Linked DNA regions of Astyanax mexicanus. The protein of the gene in region 2 interacts with the protein of the main gene of each other region in a pairwise test. Links are inferred from orthologs where the notes say so. Each region holds a gene or a part of one and is shown on either strand. Other genes may lie near its edges.

Region 1 (7,859 bases), on a different chromosome or scaffold from region 2:
ATTCCTAGTTTGTTTCCTGTGCTCCTTATTTCGTGTTTTTCCCTGTTTATCTCCAGTTTATGTTTCTAGTCCCTTGTTTATTTCCGTTAACTCCTTGTATTTAACCCTGCTTTGTGTTTATTAGTTTATTCCCTTGTATTTATTTCCCTGCCCTGTTTGGTTTGTTTATTTTTATTATATTCTCTAGTTTGTTTGTTTTAGTTCTCTGGTTCCTCTCGTTTGTTTTCTGGTTATTTTCAGACATTTCGTTTATTCCCTAGTTCATTGTATATATCTCCCTGTTCCGTGTTTTAGTGTTTACTTGTTTCTTGTTTCTTTGTTACTTGTTATTTATTTATTAAATTATTATTTATTGATTTCACCCTACCTGCACTTGTGTCCGCCTCCTCGTCTCCCTGCCTGGGTTTTCCTGACACACTGATTTAATTTAAAAGAAAAAATCTTAACTACTGCTGCTTGAAAGTAAGTGAACACTGTATATTTGTAATAATGTACATGTACAAAAATATATTTCTTGAACGTAAATGAAAACTGTATATTTGTATTATGTACAAAAATGTATTTTTACACAGTGTTTGTATGCAATTTAAAACGCATGATATTATGCATTTGTAACGACACGAGTGAATGACATAAACTGTTTTCATAAGTTTAAGCCTAACACTTTAGAACACTTAAAAACGCAATTATAACACTATTATAACACTTAAATATTTATGAATAACTTAAGTACTTGCAGCTTGACAAGATTTTATAAAATGGTCAGGACACTTCTAAGAGAGACCAAGACTCTCTGTGGTTTAAGATGGTTTAAGACATTGTTTAAATATGTATATAGTGTTGAACTATGTTTAAGCAAAAGTTAATATACATGTAAATATAAGGTAACACTTTAAAAAAGTACATTTATTTAATAATGTCTTAACTAGTGACAATTAGTAATTAGTTGGGAAATTACTCAACCATGTAAGAATGTTTATAACTGTCTTAGTACTGTTAATTCTGACCCTTATCATAAAATGTTACCAGGTGTGTTGCGATATTCAACATGTATGCATATTATGTAAAAAAAAAAAAACAATCTCTTCTTTCATGAACTGTCATAACCTTTTGAAAAATTCACACGGTTCTCATTTCTCACATTATATATCTACTAGAGACAGATTATATCTGTCCAGTATAATTTATTTTACTTTAATTCTGGATATATGGAGATTTATGAAGTGCATTATTAGTATCATGATATTCTGGATCATTGACTTCTGTTACAAATCTGATACAACTATTGTATTTTTAATATCTCAGTTAGAGATGTGACATATCATATCATATGCAATAATACGCAATATGCAAAAATTTTTATCTGGTCATATTGCCAAGTGTATCGTTATCGCAGAAATACCATGAAATATCGTGATATTGTTTTAGGGCCACATCGCCCACCCCTATCATTCAAATCTTTAGCATCATATGTCAATCTTTTTAGACTAATTTTAGCCAGAATAGGAAGCTACAGAAAATGAATGGACACTTTGCACAAAGACAGAATTTATTTTTTATACTTATATTTTTATTTAGACATTGTTTAAATATGTATATAGTGTTGAACTATGTTTAAGCAAAAGTTAATATACATGTAAATATAAGGTAACACTTTAAAAAAGTACATTTATTTAATAATGTCTTAACTAGTGACAATTAGTAATTAGTTGGGAAATTACTCAACCATGTAAGAATGTTTATAACTGTCTTAGTACTGTTAATTCTGACCCTTATCATAAAATGTTACCAGGTGTGTTGCGATATTCAACATGTATGCATATTATGTAAAAAAAAAAAAAAACAATCTCTTCTTTCATGAACTGTCATAACCTTTTGAAAAATTCACACGGTTCTCATTTCTCACATTATATATCTACTAGAGACAGATTATATCTGTCCAGTATAATTTATTTTACTTTAATTCTGGATATATGGAGATTTATGAAGTGCATTATTAGTATCATGATATTCTGGATCATTGACTTCTGTTACAAATCTGATACAACTATTGTATTTTTAATATCTCAGTTAGAGATGTGACATATCATATCATATGCAATAATACGCAATATGCAAAAATTTTTATCTGGTCATATTGCCAAGTGTATCGTTATCGCAGAAATACCATGAAATATCGTGATATTGTTTTAGGGCCACATCGCCCACCCCTATCATTCAAATCTTTAGCATCATATGTCAATCTTTTTAGACTAATTTTAGCAAGAATAGGAAGCTACAGAAAATGAATGGACACTTTGCACAAAGACAGAATTTATTTTTTATACTTGTTAGGTTCTACTAATCCCAAAAAGCTTTGAAAATTAAAAAATGCACACCAAGCAAAAGTCTGGATGTCAGGAAGATAAACATATTTGAGAGTCTGTTGCAATGTTCAGTAGGAAGAAACTGCTAAATCAGTTCCACTGACTCATTCTGAGTAAATATACACATTAGTTCAGACTGCTTAACCTAATAAACCTCAGTGAATTCTGAAGATCTGATGTTTCTCAGCCACAAGAACGTAACCACTCACATTCATGCTTTATTCAAATGCCTAAACTCACTATTTCCACAAAACATCAACATAAACAACATGAACAACATGAAAGACAAACACAAAAAGAAATAATTTACTGTACCTCAGTGAGGATCAAGCTTTGCCTGCTATTTCCAAGTGGATTCTTAAGCCACTACTCCCCTCATCTGCCCTGTACACCACCTAACTCCAGCCTGCAAGAAGTCACATGTATCTCTGAGACTGAGGAAAAGGACTGCCCCTCCTCAAGTGTAAACACTGTCCACACTTCCTTCACCGCCATAAGGAGTAAATAGACTCCGGCAAGTCTTTAATCAAACACGGCCTGCCCCCGAACATGAAAAATCTGGTGACCAGTCTTAAGTATGATTTTCTTTTTTTCTTTTTTTTTCTGGACCAACTAGAGCATGAAAGAGCCTTTCTTTCACCACTTTTTTTTCTTTACTGTTGGACTTTAATAGAGTTGCTTGATGTTGGAGCACCAAAGGAACAAAGAAACAGGTTCTGCAGGATAGGATTTGAGGCCACACATGGACTCGAGGGGGAAAGTGATGTAACCTTTTGTGCACCGAGAGAAAAGAAAGAGAGAACATTAGAAGTGTTAGAACAAATAAACGGAAAGATAAACAGCGCAAAAGTTAGCGCACTCACTCACGATATGTCATCATTTCTATCACCTCAGATCATGAAGGCGTGAAGGCAAATACTAATAAGCTAATAATACAGCACAAGCTTTGTGCTTCAGCACTGAAAATAACTTTTCCATTAAAACAAAATAATGTGATGTAAACGTTTGAATGTGGGTATATTTAGAAAACTGATTATATTAACAGCAAAAAATTAATAATAATAATACTTTCAAAATATTAACCTGGATTAATATAAATATGTACTTTTTTCTACCAATTAAATAAATAAATGCAAAAAAGTATGAAAAAAAAACAGAAAGAAAACAAAACCACAGAGTGCCTGTGTAAACTGAACCAGCCCATGCTACCTCCAGGGTTGCCAGGTATATTGTATTTTCATTTTTTTTATTACTTTTTCTTGGTACAAATATAACAGTATAGGCCAGCTATTCAAACTGATAATTTATATATAAGGAGATATAAGATTGTTATATTTATTAAGTTGTATATCTAAGTCAGTAACCAAGTAAATGTAATTTGTTACTGTACTGTGAATTATTATGAAATTTAAAACTGTAATTTTTTACTTTAACTACAGTACAATTTAAAGTACATATGGAGTGTGCTTATATGAAATATGTATTTCAATATTTTTGGTGTTCGTCTGCATAGAAATGCAGTGTAACAACAAAAAATCAAGCTGAAATAAATAAATAATTCACATATACACACATACATAATATGCAGAATATATAGAGGAAAAATAGTGAAGGAAATACATTGGTAAACCTTGTGTTAAAGGCAAGTTTTTATTAAACTAAGTTACATATTAACCAAAAGTTATTTTGCTTTAGCCTACCAAATTTGTTTTACCTATAGTTTTTTATTTTTTATTTTTCAATTAATGATGTTCTAATAAAGATGATGAAACAATAATGGGTAGCGCTTTAAATATATTTTAAATAAAAAAATGTATGGTTTATAAATAGTTATTAATTAAGTAGTAATTTAGATCATTTAAAAATCTGCTTGTTGAGCACCTCAGAGAGTACACAGCAGATAAGCCAGCAGACTTTGTCTGAGGGAGGAATCTATACCTAATGTCTGTGGCAAGTCAGCAGGTGAGGGGGATGTAAGTACTTTCAAATAATTAATTTTGTTCTTCTATCACAGTTAAGAATGAACTAGCTTGTTCGTGTTTTGCCATTTAGCACAAGCTAACATTAACATGTGGTAAACCCTCTGTGTAAATATGGAGCATGTCCAGCAAAGGCTTATTTGCAAAAAGTGACAGAGTCCTTAAACAGTTCTGAAACTTCTGAAATGGTGAATCTGGTGAGATCTTTTTATGTGAGAGTGATTTTGTGCAAAGAACTTAATGAGCATGTTTTGTACAGCAAATAGAACTATTTTAACTTGTTTAAAAGTAGATATTATATGCCCCCTTTAAAATATCTTCAACCTAATTAATAACCATTTATAAACACTTTATAAATATGCTTTATATTAAAGCAATCACATTTATTTACAATGAGTGAAGTAAGACTTAAATCAAGCACAAATCACTGATTTATTGGCTTCAATTCGTACTAGTATGTTACCCTGTGTATCTCTACTCTATTCTTAACCTTAACCACAGTGACGGAGTGAAAACCCCAAATCTGGCAACTCTGACTCCCTCCCGCCTGCTCCACGGAAGCGCTGTTTGCAGACAGCCGACCAATGGCGAGCTCTCCTCTTCACACGTGATTAAGACGGAAGTAAAATAGGCTGCAGGACTCGGTTTGTGTGTTTTCAACATGAAGATGGACGGACTTTTAGTTGCAGTCACTGATTTATATATTATGATAAGCTTTTATTTAGTGTGTGTTTAATTCTCTTACTCCGCTGCTGCTGCTGTCAGACCCAGCTAAAGCTGCTGCAGTCACACACAGAGAGGAGCAAACCAGCTGCTTATGGCGGAACACCCGGTCAGAGTCCAGCTCACATTTATTTATATATTTATTTAATTCATTAGTTTATTAAATCTCCGGCAGTAATGCCACTTATACCCGCCAACCAGCCTCAGCTCATCCGCTCCTCCCAGAAGGACGAGTACTACCAGAGCAGCCTCAGAAACAACACCAGCGAAGCTTTCCAGACCCTCGCCGGTGAGTCTCTCTCACTGTTTACCTAAACCACACACAGCACGTGTTTTTCTCAACACTGGTTCAGTTACTTTCTAGACATTGTTGCTACTACAGCTCTGGAAAATAATAAGAGACCACTTCTGTTTCTCTAGTTTTGCTATGTTTAGGTTTATGTTTGAGTACAATGAACATTGTTGTTTTATTCTATAAACTACGGACATTTGTTCCAAATAAAAATATTGCCATTTAGAGCATTTATTTGCAGAAAATGAGAAATGGCTGAAAAAACAAAAAAAGATGCAGAACTTTCAGACCTCAAATAATGCAAAGAAAATAAGTTAATTTTCATAAAGTTTTCAAGAGTTCAGCTAGAGTTCAGAAATCAATATTTGGTGGAATAACCCTTGTTTTTAATCACATTTTTCATCACATGCATCTTGGCATGTTCTCCTCCACCAGTCTTACACACTGCTTTTGGATAACTTTATGCCACTCCTGGTGCAAAAATTCAAGCAGTTCAGTTTGGTTTGAGGGCTTGTGGTCATCCATCTTCCTCTTGATTATATTCCAGAGGTTTTTAATTTGGTCAAATCAAAGAAACTCAGCATTTTAAGTGGTCTCTTTTATTTTTTTCCAGAGCTGTATATTTATTTGAATCAATTAATATATGAAAAATATATCTCTCTCTGATCGTAAATATTTCCCAATGCAGCAGAATTTTCCTAATGCACAGTTCTATATTACATAAATTCCTGTGTAAATATCTTGGTAAAAGTGTTAGTTGGTTTTGTGGAGTGGAGTCTGCAGGGTAGCGAAGTAAAGCAAAACAACTGGAAAAGATGAAAAGGGGAAATGTGTCGCAAGGCACAGCAGGAAAACAGACCTTCTGTAACTTTTCTGGACTTTTTTTTGAGATGCCAGGCTTTTTGTCTGATTTGAATAGCATCTGCTAGATAGATAGGGTTTGCCTAGGTTTGGCCGATATTTCAAGTGACGCTTGCTGACATATTTATTGTACTCTGGAAAAGGGCCAAGTAATGCTGGCCACACTGCTACAGTTGGCAAGCACTGGCCGCACTAATTTAGCATTTTTTTTTCATTACTTTTAGTTAATCGAATGTTTTATTTTACCTGTTGATTTACAAAAGAGGGTTTAAAACTGTGATCAGGGGCTCCGAGTGGTCCACTCGAGAGAGAGAGCACAATAGGCCTTGTTCTCTCTGAGTGAGTAGATGGCTCTAATTTCAGGAGATGCATTTTGTCATTTTGTTTGCATACAGTTGGTTGAAAGCTGAAATGTAAGGCAAATAAATGTTACAAGTCTAACGGCTGCCTACCTTCTCTTTAGGTTAAAAATATGAATATTGGTACCGACAGATATGTGCATGTGTAATATCAGATATTCACGTCAGCTCAGAATTCCCTCATCTGTGAATCACTGATAAATAGATATAGTAAGAGAGAGAGAGAGACAGAGAGATGAAGATATACCTTCTTAATCCTGAGAAAAAATTAGGTCATCCAGTAGCTTAAAATAACACAATTAAATACATGCAGTCACAGAACACACATGAAAGGATCGATCATGTGTGTTATTAAAAAAGGTCCTAAAAAAACATAGGTAGAAAGATCTGTTAATTTAGCCTTGTATTTTTATTAGCAGTCATAGAGATTGTACCAAGATGGTATGTCAGCCAATAAATATTCTATAGAGTAAAAGTACTACATAAAAAAATGACATTGGAAATAGGATGAAGTGACCTGGTGTGCCTATATACATATGGTTGCCTGAAAAACTATTCTTTTGGTTTTGATGCATTACAATGAATATGTTTGTGTGGTGTACCACATAGGGATGCTTCACATACTATTAGTGGTGAACGTACCACAGTTTGAGAACCACTGCCTTAGTTTATTGGTGTTTCCACTTTAATCAGGTTCCAAACGATGGCTACAGTGGAGAAAGGAGCTGGAATTGCTGTCAGATCTCACCTACTACGCACTTACTACTCTCTCAGGTAGGTGCAATTTGTTGATATGTAACAGGGTAATTGTAATAAAAAATTGTGTTGGTGCAAGAGTACTCAGGGTTAGTAGTGGTGTTGAGGGGTTTTTTTCACTCCTATTAAATTGGACCACCAAATTTGACATATTCTTTTCACCTAAATTCGAATCACCCATTTTTTGTATGCTCTTCACTGGTGTCATTAGGTAGGCACCACCCATTGTCAGTGTTTTGTTCAATTAAGCCCACAATAAATCCTCCCTCCCTCTCCTCAAGCTCACTTTACACCCATCACTTAACCAATTCTGTACCTGTAGTACCACACTGGCTTCCCTGGTGGCTAAAGTGCCACCAGTTCCATGTGTCCATGTGTAGAACAACGCTGCCGAGCAAGCACGCTTGCTAGATAACACTAGCCAGTTAGCACAACAAGCTACTGCATTGGTAGCTCAGCTCTGTGGAGAAAGAAGGGAATTGTGGCTGATTTTAATACTGTAACGCCTCTAATAGCTTGAACT
Region 2 (7,163 bases):
TCATCGATTACAAAAATACATCGATTTGCATAACGTGCGTCGGCGCGTCGTAAACATGGCGGCGCCTGTGGAGAGCATTAGAGGTTAGATCGGGCCCAAAAATTCCAACTGGCTGTTTTCGGGCTGTTTTAATGAGCGAAATATGATCAGAATTATGTTAATTAACACGGTAACATAGAAGCATAGAACTATTATTTAATTAAAATGATTTTTAAGAACAGCTAAACACAGTTCTGCAAGTCAAACGCGGAGGAGTTCACGTGCGAGAGAGAGAGAGAGAGAGAGAGATTTGCTTGTTCTACTCACAGGTGAAGGTTCTCTTTGATCTCCTCGTGCTCATATTCTAGTCCCATTCATAATTCTGCAGCTCCCTCAGTGTTTTCTGCCGTATTTTGCGGCTAGCGCGAGCGCTTACAACTGACACCGCGGACCGCGAGGTGCCGCCGCGTTTGTGCCGAATCCGACTCTCTGCTGAATCTGACTCCCGCTTCGCGGACAGAATCGGCACAACACCCCCGCTGTAGAACTGCGGTAGTGAAAACAGCGCTTATAAATAAATTAGTTTAGTTTCACTTTCAGTTTTCGTTATTTTTTTTTAAATAAAAATATAATTAAAAAACAGACGCCTACATCTCGGACTATTTTCTGGAGCCCGGGTCGGATTTACGGGCGGGCCTCGGGTCATGTCGGGTTCGGGCAGAGAATCTAAGCTCTAGGGAGCTTGGACTCCGGAGAGCAATCTCCAGCTACAAAAAAACGCCAGCGGGCATCTAAAGTTTGGGAGCATTTCACGCAAAAGGGCAACAATGTGGTCCTCTGCCATACGTGCAAAAGGAGCACTTGAAGCGCAAACATCCAGGAGCACTATGTCAACAGGGTCACACAGTAAGTTACCGTTTACATCAGGGTCTCCGCGGGTGTCCTTAAAAAGACTTAAGGCTGTCTACCAAAGGTTTTAAACCTGCCACAGGCAGAAATTATACATTTTTGGTTTATATTTGTGCATGGCATTTCGCAGTTTCCAGAAACAGTAGCATTATTCATAAGTTCAGGTGTTTAGCTAAGCTAGCTGCCTTAAGTTATTTTAGCTAGCGCCGTCGGCGCTGCGGTGTCACACCGTTTTCTGTCACCGTCGGAATTTTGTGACCAGTGCTCACGGTTATGAGCGTTCATTGGCAAAACGGAAGCTTTCTATACCTACACCTTACCCTCAGCCCTAAACTGAACCGTTTTGGCCAGTCGGGGTAAACATTAGAAACGAACACGTTTCGAATCGGCCAGTGCACCGGTCTGCTGAGAACTACTTGCCAGTGGTCACAAAATCTAGCGGTCACAGAAAACAGTGCAACACACGGTTGTGGTGTATGGGAGCTTATCCATTTTTAGCGTTATAGATCTAAACAACGTGCTGTACATGTAAGTGATTATAAGTGTGGGGTTTGGTTTAGTAGGCTTGTGTTGTTGTTGTTGTTGTTGTTATTATATATAAATATAGTAATTTATCGTTTGCTTTAAAACGTAAAATAATTATTTAAATATGTTTCTCAATGAATAGATTAGTCGACTAATCGAAAAAAATAATCGTTAGAATAATCGTTTAAAAAATAATCGTTAGGGACAGCCCTAGTTTCATTACTTTAAAGTAACATATATTAATAGAAACAATATGGTTTAGAGGCTCTTTAATATTGAATTTAAAAGCTGTACCGAGGCCCAATATGTTAAACTATATTTGATTTTGCAAGGTTAGTAAATGTTTAAGTCAATTAAGAAAGTCTCTCGACTAATGATATCAGATCGGTATGGGGTATCAACTTTTAAGTTAACTTCTGCCTCAGTATTGGAAGTGAAAAAGTGAAAAAAGTAATAAAAAAAAAATCACTGCATCCAATACAAAGCTATAACTACAGTACCAGGCATATTTGGACAAACCTTTCACCTCATAAAATGTTTTTCTTTATTTAATTGTAGATTAATAACAAACACATAAAAACAATTAAGGCACATATATGGAATTGGAGCTTAGTGCAAAGGAAAAACAGCAACTACTATTTAGCACCTTCAGGAACTCCTTTAAGACGCTAAGAAAACTATACCAGGTGACTCTACCTCATAAAGACACTGAAAAATACCAATTGTGCAGATCTGTCCTTAAAGCTAAACATGGAGGAATCTAAAATATGAAACATATTCTGGTCTGTTTAACAATCATATTCATGTACAGCTTTAATGATTTCAATATTAAATTTATAATGTAAAAATTGATTTGTATAATATTGCAATATTTTGAGATTAAATATTTAAGAAAAACAGTATTGAATACAAAACAATAAATCAACCTGTTATGGTTGTGATGATAATCGTTATTGTACATAATAATATGGATTTGTGGTGTAACCAGAGGGATAGTTTGAAACTAACTAGTAGTTATTAAGGACTTAGTAGAGACTTTACACACAAACTTAAGAAGGAACTTACGCAAAAGTGGTGCAATGTTCTCTAACTATAATTATGCTTTCATACTATGAGAGTTAAAATTGTTGATGTCGATGTTATATACGGAATTGTTTATAGTATCACAATCTATTGCTATATACCGAATCGTAACCCCTTCAAGTATCGTATCGCCAGGATCACAACACGCAGTCCTCAGTATTCAGTTGTTTTGCGGGCTTACCTTCACGGCGTGCTGCAGTGCGGGTTTGACAGCACCCATCAACGAGTCCTGAGCTAAAACCTCAAAAATACTCGGCCTGTCTTCCACTGCTGCTGCTGCTGCTGTGGTCAGATGTGCTCCTCTCTCCGCCATTCTGAGCGAGTTTACAGATAGATAACCTACTTAAACTTCAAAATTAGACTGTAAATCAGAGAATACTTCAGTTAGGAAGCGAACAGCGGTGTCTATAACCCACTCTGCGCTCAAAACAACCAGAACCGGGCGCCATAGTGGCCAAAGTACAGTGTAAACACTGTTTAACGCATGCCATTCTCTGCACCTCGGCGGTGCAACAACATGGCTGTTCCGTGTTTTTCCAAGAGCTCCCAACTTTCCGTTCCGGCCGCTCCATCTTCTTCCCCCCTCCGTCTACAGCTGTGGCAGTGAAAGCGGCCAGCAGCAGCAGCGGTTCACTCCAGCTCCGTTTACACCCGGATACCCTTTAAAATCCTCTCCGCTCCTGTTTCCGAGGTAGGGGCTTTTATTGTTGCTGTTTTGGACAGTCTGTTTATTTGCTGGCGAGGCGAGTTAAAAGGCCGATTTAACGAATGTCGTTCATTTTTCGTAGATGATAGCTAGCGATAGGTTAGCTTAGCAAGCTACCTAGCTAGTTAGCCTAGCCCAGATAACCTAACGTTAAACGGTCACACCCAGGGGTAATTGCTATGGGAGCCTCAAATATCGAGCTTAAATACATTATTTACACTGAATATACTGTGTTTTCTGTCTATGGGTAAATAAATAAACAGTGTTCTGTCTGAGAATGGAGCTGAACGGATATGAACGGATTCCTGGCCGGCCTGCTGTGTTTCGGATGTTCATTCTGATTAGATAAAGTTATTAAGACATATTAGACGTTTCTTTCATTTGTTTTCCAGCAGAATAAGCTTTATACTGAACATATATCTCTTTTTAAATTCACCATGACTATATTAACCTTCCTACCTGGCTAACATTACACCCATAGCCAAATATATAGTAAACTACTTATATATTTTCTTAATTTATTTAAGGGTTTTTTTTTTAAGAAACTTATTTACAAATCCTTTGGATTAATGATAATTATTGAAGAGTTTACATATCATTACACCATCAAATTTTTTTAATGCATAGATATACACGCATAACTATACACACATATATTCTTACAGGTCTGGAACATAAATAAGAGACCACTTAAAAATTATGTGTTTCTTTGATTCTACCAAATTGAAAACCTCTGAATTATAATCAAGAGGAAGATGAATAGTCACAAGACATCAAACCAAACTGAACTGCTTAAATTTTTGCACCAGGAGTGGCATAAAGTTATCCAAAATCAGTGTGTAAGACTGGTGGAGGAGAACATGCCAAGATGCATGAAAACTGTGATTAAAATCCAGCGTAATTCCACCAGATATTTATTTCTGAACTCTTAAAAATATGTAAATGAGCTTGTTCTCCTTGCATTATTTGAGGTCTAAGAGGTCTGCGTCTTTTTTGGTATTTTAGCCATTTCTCATTTTCTGCAAATAAATGACAATATTTACATTTGGAATTTAGGAGAAATGTTGTTTGTAGTTTATAGAATAAAACAACAAAGCTCGTTTAAATCGTACAACACATACAACTACTACAATATTAGAGCTTATGTCCTTTGTAAGTGTTAAATAAGTTACAGGGTTTGAAAGAGATTTCAGTAAATGTCCTATAAAACATATACAATAGGGTAGGTAGCGAGATAATTTGGCTATGGGTGTAACCTTAGCTAGATTTATGTTAAATCTATCATTCTTTTTTGCCAAACGGCTATTTTTTTGCATTATAAAAAAAAAACTTTCACAACATAAATTGAGACTCCTATTTGTGGTTACATATTTATTTGTATTATTTTAATGTGTGCTTTTCTCTGAAGTGAACTTGAACACCAATCAAAATGACAGACTCAAAGTATTTCACTACAAACAAAAAAGGTAAGGTTTTAACTTTGATTGACATTTATTTTTTCTCATTAATAAATCTGAATTAAACCTCACTCACACCTGGCATGGTAGTTTTATCTGGTCAGTGCTTTATGTTTTATTAACCTTACCCTACAATTATTATTTTCTATAGGAGAGATATTTGAACTGAAAGCTGAGTTAAACAATGAGAAGAAGGAGAAGAGGAAGGAAGCGGTGAAAAAAGTCATCGCTGCCATGACCGTGGGCAAGGATGTCAGGTATGATGGGTTTATTGGACACTGTTATTTAAATGCAGGGCAAGGATCATTTTCAGGGCAATAATGTCACGTGTTCTGTGAGCTATTTGCTTTATATGTTTTTTAATTGTTTGGGCCACAGACATCGCAGTTGTAATTTATTTATAATGATTCTGTAAGGAGAACGAAATTAATTTCTTTTTTTTCTTGGGGATTATTTGTTAGAAAAATGTTTAAATGAATCCCACACTGTGTAGGCTGTAATTTAGCTTAGCTTTAGCTCATTTTCATTTTGACTTATTATTTTGCACTGCAGTTGATGCTTTATTATTATTATTATTATTATTATTATCATTCCTTATTCTGTGACTATTAAACACTCTAGTCAATAATCAAGTAAAAGTGTTTCAAAGTGCTAGCATGTTTTTTTTTTTTGTTTTTTTTTTTCATTTGACTGTTTAAGTTTGTCTCTTTATTTAAAATAGATTATGAGGAGATTTGTATATTGCTGATGGTGGTGATCTTGATTTAAATCTATCCTGCCTCGTTCTTTCCTCTCTGTAGCTCTTTGTTCCCGGATGTGGTGAACTGCATGCAGACTGATAACTTGGAGCTGAAGAAACTGGTCTATCTATACCTGATGAACTATGCCAAGAGTCAGCCTGATATGGCCATTATGGCTGTCAACAGTTTTGTAAAGGCAAGTTTTTCTCTTGATATTAAAGAAGAGATGCTTAAAATGTGCTTATGCTATTTGCAACTTAACTCTCAATAGGTATTGCTTTAAACCACTTGCTTTAAACATTATAAACACATAGAGCATGTAGCTTTTCCTTTATCTTTCAAAATGATAGTGGCATTCTTCTTTAGAAATAACCCTAGGTTAAACATGTTCTGTGAGATTTAATGTCATAAATATTCCACTGTATTCTGTTGGTTTGGAGAAAGCTTGGAGAAACTTTTGGAAGCATTTAGGCTACATTTACATCACTAAACTGAAGTAGTCCAGCTCTGTTTTTATAAGCTGTAGATGAGAGCTGTTTTATTGCAAATTTGTTTCTCTAAAGCCTATTAAATATATAAGTGGTCAATATTGCAATTATTGTTTTAGGATCTGTATGGTCATCATGATTCACAGTGTAAAATTCTGAGTATGTCATTGTTTAATTCAGGTAGAAGATCCTATCTCTATTATTTTAAATTAATCTTGTTAATCACTACAGATGTCCTGTGGTGACATTACTGTGTGTCTGTCTTTTCCCTCAGGATTGTGAGGATCCTAATCCACTCATTCGAGCCCTGGCTGTGCGCACCATGGGCTGCATTCGTGTGGATAAGATTACAGAATACCTGTGTGAGCCTCTGAGGAAATGTCTGAAGGATGAAGACCCGTATGTGAGGAAGACTGCTGCTGTGTGTGTGGCCAAGCTGCATGACATCAATGCTCAGATGGTGGAGGACCAGGGCTTCTTGGACTCCCTTAGGGACCTTATTGCTGACTCTAACCCAATGGTTCGTAATTATGCTCGTTGTGTGCTAAACGTAAAAATTCATATGTTTTATGTATAGGTTAGCTGAAGTTAACATCGTGTGGGTTGCCAGATTGGCACATTTGCCAGATCTCTCATTTTCATGGCTGCAGCATGCTGTTTGCATGTTGTTGTGTTCTATACCTGGCAACCCAGAGTGTGGAAATGGGACTGGGGAAATTGCGGTAGGCAGACTTCTTTGTGCACAGTTCCAATAAGAAAATACTGACTGAAGCTCTGCTGACAAGAGCTGCCAGTGATTAAAGCCAGCATGTTTCCTTAATAACTGATGATACATCCTTACCATTATATCACTACAGAAAATATCATCCTTAATAGTTCCAAAGGTACCGTTTAGAAAAGTGCATTGTTTCACATTAAGCATAGCCTTAAATGGCCTGAGGTAGAGTGCAGGAATTGATCAATGACATTAGGTAAGGAAGGGCTGGTCAGTCCAACGTTAAATGTGCCCTGCAACTGAGTATTCACATTGTATATATTTTGTTCCCTTACTTCATAGTCCTGAGACTACAATCATATTGTAAGTGCGTATGTATAATTCTGCTGGTATGCATTTATACTAGTTTGTTTCCCTTTAGTGAAGCATACAGAATCGAGTTGAGCATTAATGACTCCCTCTTGTGGGGAAAAAAAAATTCTCAACATTAAGGAGTGTGAGATTTCAGCCAGAATTGTGAGATGCTTTGCCTTTAATAGGAAACTATATTCTCTATTATTT

Evidence for each region. The genes of interacting proteins can lie anywhere in the genome.
Region 1: the proteins of pex12 (region 2) and pex10 interact in a two-hybrid assay, tested with the Homo sapiens proteins (4 studies listed by BioGRID, with this or other methods). The link is inferred for Astyanax mexicanus from reciprocal best matches to the Homo sapiens genes PEX12 and PEX10.

The regions. Positions count from the first base shown.
Region 1 is NC_064419.1:19,024,420-19,032,278, forward strand, and holds the start of pex10 (peroxisome biogenesis factor 10), read left to right. Parts: upstream 1-4,844; 5' UTR 4,845-5,245; coding exon 5,246-5,357; intron 5,358-7,273; coding exon 7,274-7,354; intron 7,355-7,859.
Region 2 is NC_064408.1:29,621,537-29,628,699, forward strand, and holds the start of pex12 (peroxisome assembly protein 12), read right to left. Parts: upstream 3,006-7,163; 5' UTR 2,810-3,005; coding exon 2,678-2,809; intron 1-2,677. Other genes in the region: ap2b1 (AP-2 complex subunit beta), read left to right, coding at 4,632-4,668, 4,811-4,916, 5,460-5,595, 6,162-6,407. UniProt on the Homo sapiens protein: Component of a retrotranslocation channel required for peroxisome organization by mediating export of the PEX5 receptor from peroxisomes to the cytosol, thereby promoting PEX5 recycling.